Linked DNA regions of Caenorhabditis elegans. The protein of the gene in region 2 interacts with the protein of the main gene of each other region in a biochemical or structural test. Each region holds a gene or a part of one and is shown on either strand. Other genes may lie near its edges.

Region 1 (5,689 bases), on a different chromosome or scaffold from region 2:
AACCAAAAGCATTATTAATTTCAGCTCCAAACTTCGAAGCAGCATCCATTGAACTGAATTTGTGAATCTCTTTCTCTCCACATCGTTTGCATGTTACTCTGAAAAAAAAGTCATCATAACTTTTGAAAAATAAAAATTATTAGGAAAAAAAATAATTGAAATTTTATTTCAAAACTAAAATTTTGAATTGTAATTTTTGTGAGATGTACCAAATTTTTTCAGTTTAAAACCACAATAAAATTTCGAATTTTTAATTTTTTTTGAAAATTTTAATAAGGATTTTTGATATTGATTTCAAAAATTACCTAAACTTGGGTGAATCGTCCGTAACTTCACTATATATTCGATCTTTTTTAAATTGTTGAATCTGTTTCAAAATCTTTTCACTTCCTCCGTTAATCGCGTTTCCACGTGCCAATTGATAAGCTTCAATTGCCAATTTCCAGTTACAAAATGAAATTTGCGATTGAATAGTTTTCAATGCATCTTCTTTTTGCATTTCAGACAGCTTTTCAATTGTTTCTTCATAAAAAACCATATAAAGATTATCGATTGATCGAAGTTGCAGAGTCTCGTTTACACGTTCCAGATCTATTGAAAATCTTACATTTCCACGTCCTGGATGGCATTTTTTAGGCGAAAATAATTTTGAAATCTGAAGGAACTCGAGTAAGATATTTTATCTAGTTTTCAGGATTTACCTCTTTTGCTGCAACTTTTTCAAAACCGGTGATGACAGCAGCACAGATTTCAACGGAGTCTGTCATTTGTCTGAATATCTTTCGTATCTGTTGAAATAGATTCCTCCAAATATTATGAGAAAATCTGAATCTTATTTCTGAAAATAGTTTCAAAAAGAATGGTTTGTAAAGGTGATAATATTTATATGATAGATATCTTCCAAAAATCTTAACTGGACAAATGGTAAAAAAAGTATGAGATGGGGGAGAACAACAGACGTATGAAGTGAAAGTGTATACTGATCTGTCTTATGGGGAATTGCAATTTGATTTTACATGATAATTGTGGGGTAGTTAGGTTTTGAAAAAAAAATAGGGAGTTTTGAAGGTAGGGGAAGATGCGAGAATAAACCAGATATCATGAAGAGAAAAATTGGGGAAATAAAGTAAAGTACTGATTGATTTCGGTTCCGGAACCCGCAATAGAATGTGTATATCAATGAAAGTGGGAGAACTGGTGATTTAAAATGATTGAATGTAAAGAATAAGAGAAATAATTGAGATCATTGTGAAGAATGTTTCCAGCACTCATTCGTAGAACGGGATAAGCCATTCGTTTTCCTATTAATCATCCAGAGTAATACAATCATCTTTTTTTGCTGGTGTTGATGTCTTCTTATCTCCTTTTGGGTGATTTGAAGTGAGATGGGCTTCCAGAGTCTGATAACTCGAGCATTTGAACGCGCACACATCGCACGAGTACATGATTTCAGCCGAGCACAACTTCACTTGATGATCAGCTACCAAGTGTTGAAGCATGTTGAACGCATAGTTCTTGCCGCATGTCTTGCATCGACCTCCGTCTTCCTTCTTTTGCGCTTTGAGGAGCAGATCAGCAGTGACGAGACCATGCGACATCACCAAGTGCCGCTCCAACCCTTCATAAGTCCAGAATCTGTCACGGCATCGAGAACATGCCAGTGGAGCTCCTTGCGACATGTCCTGCAGCACTTTTCCAACCATCTGCTTATGAGTAGTCTGAAAATGTGATGTTTAAGATATTTAATAATCGGTTTTGAAATTGAAATAGAAACGTTTCTTAAAATTACCTGAAGATGCTGTAGATACTTCTCCTTTTCCTGCACTGACGCATCACAAATTTCGCATACAAACGTGGGAGCTGAAGAAGAGCCAACAGTAGCATGAGACGGCGTAGTAACAAGTTTCGAACTTCTGTGTGTTGGCGTCTTTTGACTGTTCTGGCTTCTCATGGAGTTCACCGCAGCCTGAAGTTGTTGAGCTCCTTGTTGCGACTTCAAAGCTGCCATTTGCTTTTGGAGAAGTTGAGAAACTGCCAGCGAATTTCCTTGTTGACCACCTCTACGCAACGACGCTTGCATTGCTGAAATATAAATAATTATACAAAATACTTATTTAAAATATGTTTAGCTATTACCTGCAATCAGAGTGTTATGATTCACATTTCCTTGATTCTGCTGTGCACGTTGAGCCTGCGCTGATTGTTGTTGCAGCAGTTGAGCCACTTGCCGGAATTGGGCCGCTTGCTGTTGCTCACGAAGACGAGCCTGTTGCTGTTGTTGTTGCTGTTGTAATTGTTGCTTCCGTAAGAGTTGCGCAGCGGCTGCAGCTTGTGCTGCTTGCTGTTGATGCAGAAGTTGCTGTTGCTTCTTTTGTTGAGCTTGCTGAAGAGCAGCTTGTTGCTGCTGTTGAAGAATGCTGGGATCCAATTGGGGCCTCTCCCAGAGCCATCTGTTGATATAGAGATGATCGTCTTGCTTCGGCATCATGATGTTTCGAATGCGAATGTAGTCCTTCTTGCACTGCTTGTAATGCTGCTCACGGACACCTTTGAAATTGAAGTCTTCTTCGCAGATTGCACATGGATACTTGGACTCCTTCTCTTCCGATTTTGCAATAACAAGATGAGTTTCGCTGTAATTAAATGAATATTGAAAGATGAAAAAAAAAAAACTTACAAGTAGTGATCCTTCATTCTTTGCTCACTCGTGTCCGTCTCTTTACACATGGTGCACTGGAATTTGGATCCTGTGAAGTGCAAATTCTCCTTGTGAGTGCTCATAACCAGCTTTGATTCCGTCTGGAATCCACAGACGTCGCATCGATGCATTTTCAACTTGTACGGCTCATTTTTGCGTTTCAATGTCTCCCAAACTGGTTTCAACTGCGCAGCGACTTGCTTATAGGTTTCAAGATTTTTTGGCACCTCTGGAAGATTCTTCGCGTGAACTATATCACAATAGGTAGCTTCTTGAACGAGATCCTGTCCAATGTCCACGAGCAGTTTTGTCATATTTGGAACAGGATTATGTTGTTTCAGCTGAGCTCTCTCTCGTTTCTCGGAATCACTCAACTTTGGTCTTTCTTCTCCAAACATCCTGTTGATAACCTTCGTCAAAGGCATTTCGGGATCGTGCTCAATCAATAAGTCGCAAACTTGACTTGGTGGGAATGATATTGTGTTTGGGAGAACGAGAACTTTGTCCAGGATCAGCTTCCGAACCGACAGAGGCTCCTTTTGAACTTGCGCATTGATTGCTCCGAGAAGAGTGTCCAGAACTTTTCGGCTTTTGCTGGATGGTTGATCCTTCTGCTCCTTCACATACTCTTCCAGCTTGTCGAGCAATCTCTTCTGCGCCTGCTCATTGTTGTCCTCTTCTGGAACGCTTGTCGCCTTGACATCATCAATTTTAGCTTTTTTAGCTGGGGCAGGGGTAGAAATTTCCTGAATCTCGTCATCATCGTCGTCGTCGAGTTCGATGCATTCGACAGGCCGCTTCACACCCTTCCCATTCTGTTCGACAGGCATTGAAGAATCTTCTGGCTCTTTCTCTGTAGCGATCTCAGTTGTTCCGTTTACGGAAGGTTCTGGCTCCTCTTCATCTAGCACCTCCTCAGTAACTGAAAATAGAAAGTTAAAATTAAACTTGGTAAAATTATAAAACACACCTGTTCCGTTGGCAGTATCCTCCGACTTTCCGTTCGGCTCCTCAGTGATTTCCATAACATCGCCATCATCGTCTTGTTCAATCTCAGATGATGCCACAGTCACTTCGGAAGCCCCCTCATCCTTTTTACGCGCTTCCTCTTCGATTGGAACCGATGTAGATGCAGCATCACCGTTTTCATCAGATCCATCAGGTGAGGGATCCGTAGACTCTTCGGTGTCATCTATCTCGATCACTTCCACGTCTGCAGATGCCGCTTCCTCTTTTCCGTTCTCTTGATTTCCGTTGACTTCGGAACCATTCGCCGCGTCGGCCATCACTTCGCGCTGTTCTGCCTTCAGCTGCTGAAAACGTTTTATTCAGATTTAAATTCCCAAAACTTTTCCTCACCTCAATTGTGTCTGGCTCCGAATCTGAGGACGATTCACCAGCGCTTCTCGGATCCGTTGGTTCCACAGACATGGAAGTGGTGTTGGTCGTTGTGGCGAGTACCGTCTCGTCGGCGGTGACCATTCTGGAAAAATAGAGTCTAGATAGTGAGAAATAGGCAAAGAGAGAGTGATGAGAAGGAAGCAAATTAGGACAGTTACAGTCGGAGAGGTGGGAGATTCAAACTGGTAGGAATAAAATGCGCGCGCGCGGCAAGCCAGATTTGAACGCACAAGAGAACCAGCTGTGGTAAGTGACTGAGTATCAAACGTGGTACGCAGCCAAATCGGCCTCTCTCCTCCCCTTCCTCGGCCGCTGGTCGCAGCCGCCGACGCTGAGAAGAAGGGTGAGCAGCACTCGTCCTGCTCGCATGCGTCTCTTCACTGGCAGTACTCTCTCATCGGTCCGTCCTGGTATTCCGCGTCGGGAGCGTCAACAGAATCATGCTTCAATCACCAAAAAATAAGCCGGGCAACTTGTAGCAATTGGAATTTACAAACACATTTTGTTAGAGCGCTGCGTACTTCATTATGATTCATCCGAAAAGTTCATCAAAATGATTTACTGTAACGATAAAGGCAGATAAATTTAAAACAGTTAATTTTAAAAGTTCAAGCACGCAACCTAATTACACAATCTGATATATCCATTATACTGATTCTCAAAGCGAATAAACCGGGGCTCACTATTAATTACGAAAACCGAAAAGTTTGAACACGTCCCACCCGGGCGGTGCGGATGGCGACGGCGCGGTGTGTGAGGCGAAATGATGTGTGTATGTCATGAGTGTGTGAGCGTTCCGTGAGCGCATGAATGAGTGTTTTGTGAGCGTGACGTGCGTGGCGACGGGTTGTTGTGGTCTCGCCATCATAACCTTAAATGGTCTAAAAATTCATAACCGCCATTGTCGGTTAGGCCGGGTGCTGTCTTTATGGGCTGCGAACTATCTTCTACCAGGAAGACGCCCGTTCCTAAAACTTGAGAATCAGCTAAATATTTCTATAGCGTTTTCTAGGAAATTTCTACAGGCCTTAAATATAAATTCCGATTAAACATTAAACGAAAATCTAAGATGTTGAAAGGATCGTGTTAGGATCAGCGCTATATCAGCTGGAAGTGTGAATTCCTTTGCATCTAGAATACAAATGATAGTAACCTGAACTAAATTCGGTGCATTTCAATTGAAGTTGGCGTCTTTCTTCATTCTCAAGTTAAATCGAATTCTCGTAGGTTTGTAAATTTTTGATAAAAATTAGAACCTGATTTCGTAATTTAGGTTTCTGTGAGATTCAGCAGTTCTAGGATACATTCGAAAAGTTTGTGAGAGAAAAGTTATGACTATTCATGTTTTGAAACGATAATGACCTTATAATCATGAGGATCAACATTTCTGAGGATATACTACTCGCTGGGCACTATAAACTAATGGAAAAACTGCATTTCTGAAAAAAAGTGACACAATGAAGAAAGATATTTGCAAGATCAGTCAATGTGGGATTGACACCGTTGTATTTATTAATTGAGTATTTCCTCGGGTCTCGCCACGAAATCGCAACAGGTGCAGTTTCGATAGCAAGGGAGTGAACGTTGGTT
Region 2 (7,975 bases):
CCTCCACGTTTTTTCGATACATACTACAAGATAAATTGGTTTAAAAATTAAATCCCAAATCAAAAACTTACAGCTGAGACAACCATAACTTGATCATAAAACTTCAACTCTTCAGGATTCGCATTTTTCGCGCGATCAGCATGCTCAGACTTTCTGCAAAAATTGTATTATTAAAAAGACCTGAACAAACCAAAAAAATTTAAATTATACTTAAAAGTAATAGTAGCAGTTCCACAATTTCTGGAATGCTTTGGAAGTGTTCCGAACACTGATGTCTTTTTCTCTTCGCGAGGCAGAATGCAGCTGGTTATCTGGAAATTTAATTTTAAAATTTTATATTTAAATGATAATTAAAACAACACACTTTTCCATATTGAGAAAAGAAGGATTGAAGCTGTGATTGGGTGACTTTAGCAGAAATATTCGAAACCACGATTTTTCGATCATCACGAGAAGTATGTTGGAAAGCGATAGATGCATCGAAATCTGAAAAAAAAAACAATTATTGATTTTTTTTCCAAATTTTAAGATTTATTACCGTCTGTTTCTCCTCCATCAAATGCATCTCCATCGGCGAGTAACATTGGTAAAAGTCGTCGATATTTCATAAACTCTGCGGCAGAGTGGGACCAAGTTCGCCTGAAAATATTTTAATTTTAATTTAGAAAAAACCAGAGCTAAAATGTTGATATTACCTCAATTTTCCAATACTGAAAAACCGTGCCCTTGTGACAAATGACTGAAATGCTTCAGTCATATCATGAAGCCCTCGGCTCTCCAAGTTCTGTCCATGAAGCCGGCGGAGTGCTTTGAACATACTCTGAAAAATTGAAAATGTGTGAAAAAAACGTTTTTTCGAGAGAAAAGATAACAGAACCATATGATTTGATTTGGCTACTGTTCCCTAGTGTTTTCTTATCACATTAACATTTATTTGGTAGACAAAAAATCGAATTGTGTTCTCTAACCTGTTGTGATTTAGCACTTCCAGCGCTCCCGAGGTTCGATGTGAAGCTTCGATTGAAATCCATTTTTTAGGTTTAACTGTTTTCTGAAATTGAAACATTAATAATAAATTTGAAAACAATTTTGATCGATTTTCACTAGTCGTTGTTCGGAGGAGGAATGGCGCATGTTTACCAGTGAGTCGGGTTAGAGATTATACGGAAGTGAAGAGACGCAGAAAACGGGACATTCGGATGCTTGGGGACACATTGGTCACTATGAAACGTTCAAAAGCACCAATTCAAAGAAAATCTAGAAAATTTGCAGTTTTTGAACAGCTTTTAAATTTAAAATCATGCTTTAAAAGACCTTGTTTTTTGTTAACTTTGAAGGCAAAGGGTATTTGCAATAACGATTTTACATTAACACAAACTTATATATCCATTTTTGGAAATACTAAAATAAATTCAAAAAAACACAATGAAACATATTTACAAACGAAATGAAAGCCGGCAGCTTCAATAAAATAAAAAATAATTGTTGAAAAAATATAATTAAAGAAAGCTGCACACTGTGCGGCACAATTGCGAAAAAGCGGGCCGCAGTTTGCATGAAAGACCACGCCCACTATTTTAGATTTCGAATTTGTTTTTTTACTCTAATTTTCTATTGTTCGAGTTTTTCGGAATTAAAACTGCTTTAAAGAATTATTTTATTAAATTTTTTATCTGTAAATTTCAGGATGGACCAGCTTGAGCACCTCTCACTTGTGAGCAAGGTCCTCAGTGAAGTTGAGAACCATTTTGGTGTCGTCGAAAAAGATGTCGCTGAGTTTGTTATTCATTTGGCTCAAGAGAATCCAACATTTGATAAACTGAAAAAGGCTTTGGATAGTCAGGGACTTGGGGATCAGGTATGTTGAAATATGAGAAAATTTAACGACTAAATTATTTTTTTAAAGGAAATTTCAAAATTATTTTAATTCAAGGTGTTTTAAAATATTTTGATGAATATCAAATATCGAGATTTAAAAAAAACATTATTCGTCTCATAAATATAAAAGTCTCGATATTCCTCTCTTTAATTCTAAATTTCAGTTTGATGATTCCCTCACTGCGACCATACTTCGTATAGTACAAAGCATGACTGCTGTTAAAAAGAAAAACAAGAAAGGTGGTGATTCAAAAGAAGATATCAAGGATTCACACAAAATTACATTGATTTCTGATGCAAAAGAAGAAATTAAAGCACGACTTCCAGCTCTAGCGATGGCAAATACTGCGAAAGAAAAGGAAGATAATGAAGATGATCTTATGGCTCAGTTAGAAAAGATGGAAGGCCGATATGAAAGTGAGGTACGTATCTTTGATATTTGAAATTTGTTAAAATAAATTTTCCATTTACAGAAACGTCTTCAAAAGGAATCAGATTCAAAACGAAACCGTTCAAGAAGTCGATCAAGGAGTCGTGATCGAAAACGAAGAAGAAGTCGTAGTGGTGACAGGGATCGTCGGAGACGTAGTAGGAGTCGTGAAGACAGAAGAGATCGAGATAGGAGGGATCGGGACAGAGACAGAGACAGAGGACGTGGGGATCGAAGAGGAGACGACAGACAAAGAGATCGGCGTGATCGACGAGATGATGGTGGTGCTAGAAAATCCGAAGTTGCAGAAATCGGAAAAATCTACGATGGTCGTGTAAACAGTATTCAATCGTTCGGAGCTTTCATCACACTGGAAGGTTTCCGTCAAAAACAAGAAGGACTTGTTCACATCTCCCAAATTCGAAATGAACGAGTTCAAACCGTCGCAGATGTTTTGAAAAGAGGAGAAAATGTCAAAGTTAAAGTTAATAAGATTGAAAATGGAAAAATCTCGTTGTCAATGAAAGAAGTCGATCAGAATAGTGGAGAAGATTTGAATCCACGCGAGACCGACCTGAATCCGGATGCAATCGGAGTTCGTCCACGGACACCGCCAGCATCAACTTCCTCGTGGATGAATCCTGAAGCAAGTGGAGTAGGACAAGGTCCTTCGACCTCAATTGGTGGTGGAAAGGCGAGAGTTCGAATTTCGACACCTGAACGGTGGGAATTAAGACAAATGCAAGGAGCCGGAGTTCTCACAGCCACAGATATGCCTGATTTTGATGAAGAAATGGGAGTTCTAAGAAATTATGATGGTGAGTATTTTATTTATGATCTAGTAATTAATGATAAATTTGAAAAAAAAATTATTTTCTCTTGAAAATCACTAAATTATTTTTGAATTCCGCGCAAATGGTGCTTTATTTTGCTTACCGTATTTCCTCTATTAGTCTTGCACCCCTACGGGTCAATCTAAAATTAGTCTTGCAGCCTCTATTAGTATTGCATGCAAGACTAATAGAGAACATACGGTATTAGTCTTGCACCCCTATTCTTGCCAGACCAGCAGTATTTTGTGAAAACTTCAACAATTTCGCCATTTTATAGCTAAATTAAATTTTAAAGTGTTAAAATAATTGATAAAACAATAGAAAAGTATGTATTTTGCATGATTTAGACTGTTTCAAGTCAAATTTGTGACGATAAATGGCCAATTGAACAAATCTATCGGGTCTTCGAAAATTAGTCTTGCAGCCTCTAATAGTCTTGCAGTCTCTATTAGTCTTGCACCCCTACGGGTCAATCGAAAATTAGTCTTGCATGCAAGACTAATAGAGGAAATACGGTATATGATTTTTTAAAAATAATTTATATTTAAAAAAAAAACTGCAAAATTTTTTTAATTGAAAACAATTTCAATTTCTCTTGAAAATGACTAAAAATGATGTTTTACAGACATTTTTCCTTAAAAATTGACAGTAATTTATCGTTTTTAAGCCGATTTTTTATTTTCAACAAAATTTAAATTTGGTTTTCTTTACTGAAAAATGCCAAAGTATGACAAAAGATGCATCGGAGAATAAATATCGAATTTAGCCTGAAAAATGCGAATACTTTACAATTACGGCAATAATTTTCCCGGGAATTCAAATAAAATTAAAAATTAAGCAAGATTGAAAAAAAAACATGAAAAAAATGATGGTATAAAATTTATGATTTAATAATTTATCAAGAAAAATTGTAAAATTTTTTGAATTAAAACAAATTAATTTTTCCTGAAAATGACTAAATTGTTTTTGAATTCGCGCACGCAGACATTTTTCCTCAAAAATCGACACTAATTTATCGTTTTTAAGACGATTTTTTAGTTTCAACAGACAAGCCAAAATATGACAAAAGTTGCATATATCAAAGGAAAAATTTCGAATTTAGCAGGAAAATGCGAAAAATTACAAGGAAATGATTTTCCCGATAATTCAAAGACAATTTTTAAAAAAGCTAAATTTAAAAAAAAATCATTAAATATTTAAAATAAAGTTTCTATCATTTAAAGCACAACAATTTTTCAATTTTCAGATGAAAGTGATGGCGAGGATATTGAAATCGAGCTTGTCGAAGACGAACCTGACTTTTTACGTGGATATGGAAAAGGCGGTGCAGAAATAGAACCTGTAAAAGTTGTCAAAAATCCGGATGGTTCATTAGCTCAAGCAGCTTTAATGCAAGGTGCTCTTTCAAAAGAACGAAAAGAAACGAAAATTCAAGCACAACGAGAGCGTGATATGGATACACAGAAAGGATTCAGTTCAAATGCTCGAATTCTTGATCCTATGTCTGGAAATCAGTCGACTGCGTGGAGTGCTGATGAGTCAAAGGATCGGAATAATAAAATGAAAGAAATGCCAGAATGGTTGAAACATGTGACAGCTGGTGGAAAAGCGACTTATGGAAGAAGAACCAATTTGAGTATGGTTGAGCAGAGAGAAAGTCTTCCGATCTTTGCGTTGAAAAAGAATCTGATGGAAGCAATGATTGATAATCAAATTCTTGTCGTTGTTGGAGAAACTGGATCAGGAAAGACTACTCAGATGACACAATATGCAATTGAAGCTGGACTTGGAAGACGTGGTAAAATTGGATGTACCCAGCCTCGTCGTGTTGCAGCAATGTCCGTAGCAAAGCGTGTGGCAGAAGAGTACGGTTGTAAGCTGGGAACTGATGTTGGATATACAATTCGTTTCGAAGATTGTACAAGTCAAGATACTATTATCAAGTACATGACGGATGGTATGCTTCTGAGAGAATGTCTTATTGATCCTGATCTTTCTGGATATTCGTTGATTATGCTTGATGAGGCTCACGAACGTACAATTCATACGGATGTCTTGTTTGGATTATTGAAAGCTGCTGCTAGAAAACGTCCGGAACTGAAGCTGATTATCACTAGTGCCACCTTGGATTCAGTTAAATTTTCAGAGTATTTCCTGGAAGCTCCGATCTTTACAATTCCTGGAAGAACATTCCCCGTTGAGATCCTGTACACAAGAGAACCAGAATCAGATTACCTTGAAGCTGCACATATTACTGTAATGCAAATTCATTTGACTGAGCCACCTGGTGATGTTCTTGTGTTTTTGACTGGACAAGAAGAAATTGATACATCGTGTGAAGTTTTATATGAACGAATGAAATCAATGGGACCTGATGTGCCGGAGCTGATTATTCTTCCTGTCTACGGAGCTCTTCCAAGTGAAATGCAAACAAGAATCTTTGATCCAGCTCCTGCCGGAAAGCGAAAAGTTGTTATTGCTACGAATATTGCCGAAACTTCTTTGACAATTGATGGAATTTTCTATGTCGTTGATCCAGGATTTGTGAAACAGAAGATTTACAATCCGAAAAGTGGAATGGATTCCTTGGTAAGCATTTATGCACCCGTCAGGGATTTCACGAAAAAATTCGACCAAAAAACAAGACAAAAAACGAAAAAAAAATTTCAAAAAACACGAAAAGCGGCTAAAAAAACGAAAAAAAAAATCAATTTTTACCAGAAAGTTCAAAAACCAGGAGAACAAGTTTTTTCGAAGACGAAAAACGAAAAAATAATATTTTGCCAAAAACAAAAAAAACTCGGATTTCTTTTTAAAAAAAACTTTTTTTTTTTGGTTTTTGTCTTAAAAAAAACGAAGAAAAAAATCCATTTTTACCAGAGAGACCAAAAACAAGAAAAAAAATTTTGTTCGAAGCGAAACAATTTATTTCGCCAAAAACAGGAAAAAACTGAAATTTTATATTTTTGAAATGTTTGAAACGAAAATTCTTATTATTTCAAGAATAAATATTTGTAGAGTTATATTTAATTTTGAGTGTAATGTTTTGTGAAAAAAAGTGGAATAAATATTTTTTCGCCTTTTTTTAACAAATTTTTTTTCGAAAAAGTGAATCATACATTTTTCGCCTTTTTTCATAAATTTTGATTCGAAAAAAAAGTGAAAAAAAAATGTTTTCACCAGAAACTGAAAATGATGCAATAAAATTCAATATTGTTTGCAATTAGACGAATTAAAATTATTAGCTACTCAAAATAAGATAATTTTTTTCGAGATATTAAAAAACAATTTTCTGATAAATAAGAACGAAAATACAATATAAATTTCAGGTTGTCACCCCAATCTCACAAGCCGCAGCAAAGCAACGATCAGGACGTGCAGGACGTACGGGACCTGGAAAATGCTATCGTCTCTACACAGAACGTGCATTCCGTGATGAGATGCTTCCGACACCTGTTCCAGAAATTCAGCGAACAAATTTGGCGTCAACACTTCTTCAGCTTAAAGCTATGGGAATCAATAATTTGATTGATTTTGATTTCATGGATGCTCCACCTCTGGATTCAATGATTACTGCTCTCAATACACTTCACACGCTTTCAGCACTTGATGGAGATGGTCTTCTCACGAAACTTGGTCGTCGAATGGCTGAATTTCCATTGGAACCATCACTTTCCAAATTGTTGATCATGTCTGTCGATCTGGGATGCTCAGAAGAAGTTCTTACGATTGTGGCAATGCTCAATGTGCAAAACATTTTCTATCGACCTAAAGAAAAACAGGATCATGCTGACCAGAAGAAGGCGAAATTCCATCAACCAGAAGGAGATCATTTGACACTTCTAGCGGTTTACAATTCATGGAAAAACCATCATTTCTCACAACCATGGTGTTTCGAAAATTTCATTCAAGTGAGAAGTATGAAGAGAGCTCAGGACATTCGTAAGCAATTACTCGGAATCATGGATCGTCATAAACTTCTGATGGTCAGTTGTGGACGGGATGTATCGAGAGTTCAGAAGGCTATTTGCTCTGGATTCTTCCGAAATGCTGCAAAACGTGATCCACAGGAAGGATATCGAACATTGACTGATGGACAGAATGTTTATATTCATCCATCATCAGCATGTTTCCAACAACAACCAGAATGGGTTGTATATCATGAACTCGTCATGACAACTAAGGAATATATGAGAGAAGTAAGTTTATTTCAATTTTATATACGGAAAAGTACTGTAGGCGGAAAACACAAAAATGTCGAAACTAGGCCATTATGCTCCCTTTTGAAATATTTTCAAAATTTGAAAAAAAAATACAAAGTTTAGAGAAATTATATACATTTTTAAAATTCATATTTGGCATATGGAGACTTTATTCTTTCATTTAGGGCCAAAAACTATTTAAGTCTAAATAAGAAATTAAATAAAAACCTAATTTTCAATTTCCAGGTCACCGCAATCGATCCAAAATGGCTTGTTGAATTTGCACCGTCATTCTTCAAAATCGGAGATTCTACCAAATTATCAACATTCAAACGAAACCAGAAAATCGATCCGTTGTTCGACAAGTATGCAGATGCAAATGCCTGGCGTATCACACGTGTCAAGAAGAGGATATACAATCCCAACAAATAATCAGTCTCCTGTGTTTCTTATCGTTTTTTTATTTTTTAATATTTAAGTTATTCATTTTTGCTTCTTTTTCTGATGTCAGTTCTTTGTTTTCTGTCTGTAGAGTAAATACGAGTACACTTGTTTTGTTTTTGAATAACCTCATTTATTATCATTTAAACATTCAAAATATACCATCATTAGAATTAGAAGTGTTTAGGATG

Evidence for each region.
Region 1: the proteins of mog-5 (region 2) and mep-1 form a complex in vitro, tested with the Caenorhabditis elegans proteins (one study listed by BioGRID).

Annotation. Positions count from the first base shown.
Region 1 is NC_003282.8:11,523,134-11,528,822, reverse strand, and holds mep-1 (MOG interacting and ectopic P-granules protein 1), read right to left. Parts: upstream 4,182-5,689; 5' UTR 4,181-4,181; coding exon 4,058-4,180; intron 4,012-4,057; coding exon 3,669-4,011; intron 3,621-3,668; coding exon 2,678-3,620; intron 2,634-2,677; coding exon 2,137-2,633; intron 2,083-2,136; coding exon 1,790-2,082; intron 1,719-1,789; coding exon 1,305-1,718; 3' UTR 869-1,304; downstream 1-868. Other genes in the region: thum-3 (THUMP domain-containing protein), read right to left, coding at 1-98, 306-655, 702-767. UniProt on the Caenorhabditis elegans protein: Has a broad role in development, specifically in the genetic pathway SynMuvB that negatively regulates specification of the vulval cell fate. Required for fem-3 3'-UTR-mediated repression in the regulation of the sperm/oocyte switch.
Region 2 is NC_003280.10:5,397,852-5,405,826, forward strand, and holds mog-5 (putative pre-mRNA-splicing factor ATP-dependent RNA helicase mog-5), read left to right. Parts: upstream 1-1,686; 5' UTR 1,687-1,687; coding exon 1,688-1,858; intron 1,859-2,042; coding exon 2,043-2,300; intron 2,301-2,351; coding exon 2,352-3,126; intron 3,127-4,387; coding exon 4,388-5,730; intron 5,731-6,470; coding exon 6,471-7,340; intron 7,341-7,589; coding exon 7,590-7,775; 3' UTR 7,776-7,959; downstream 7,960-7,975. Other genes in the region: fbxl-3 (Putative RNA-binding protein EEED8.10), read right to left, coding at 1-23, 72-153, 211-311, 365-486, 539-639, 696-820, 969-1,031; clec-141 (C-type lectin domain-containing protein 141), read right to left, coding at 7,968-7,975.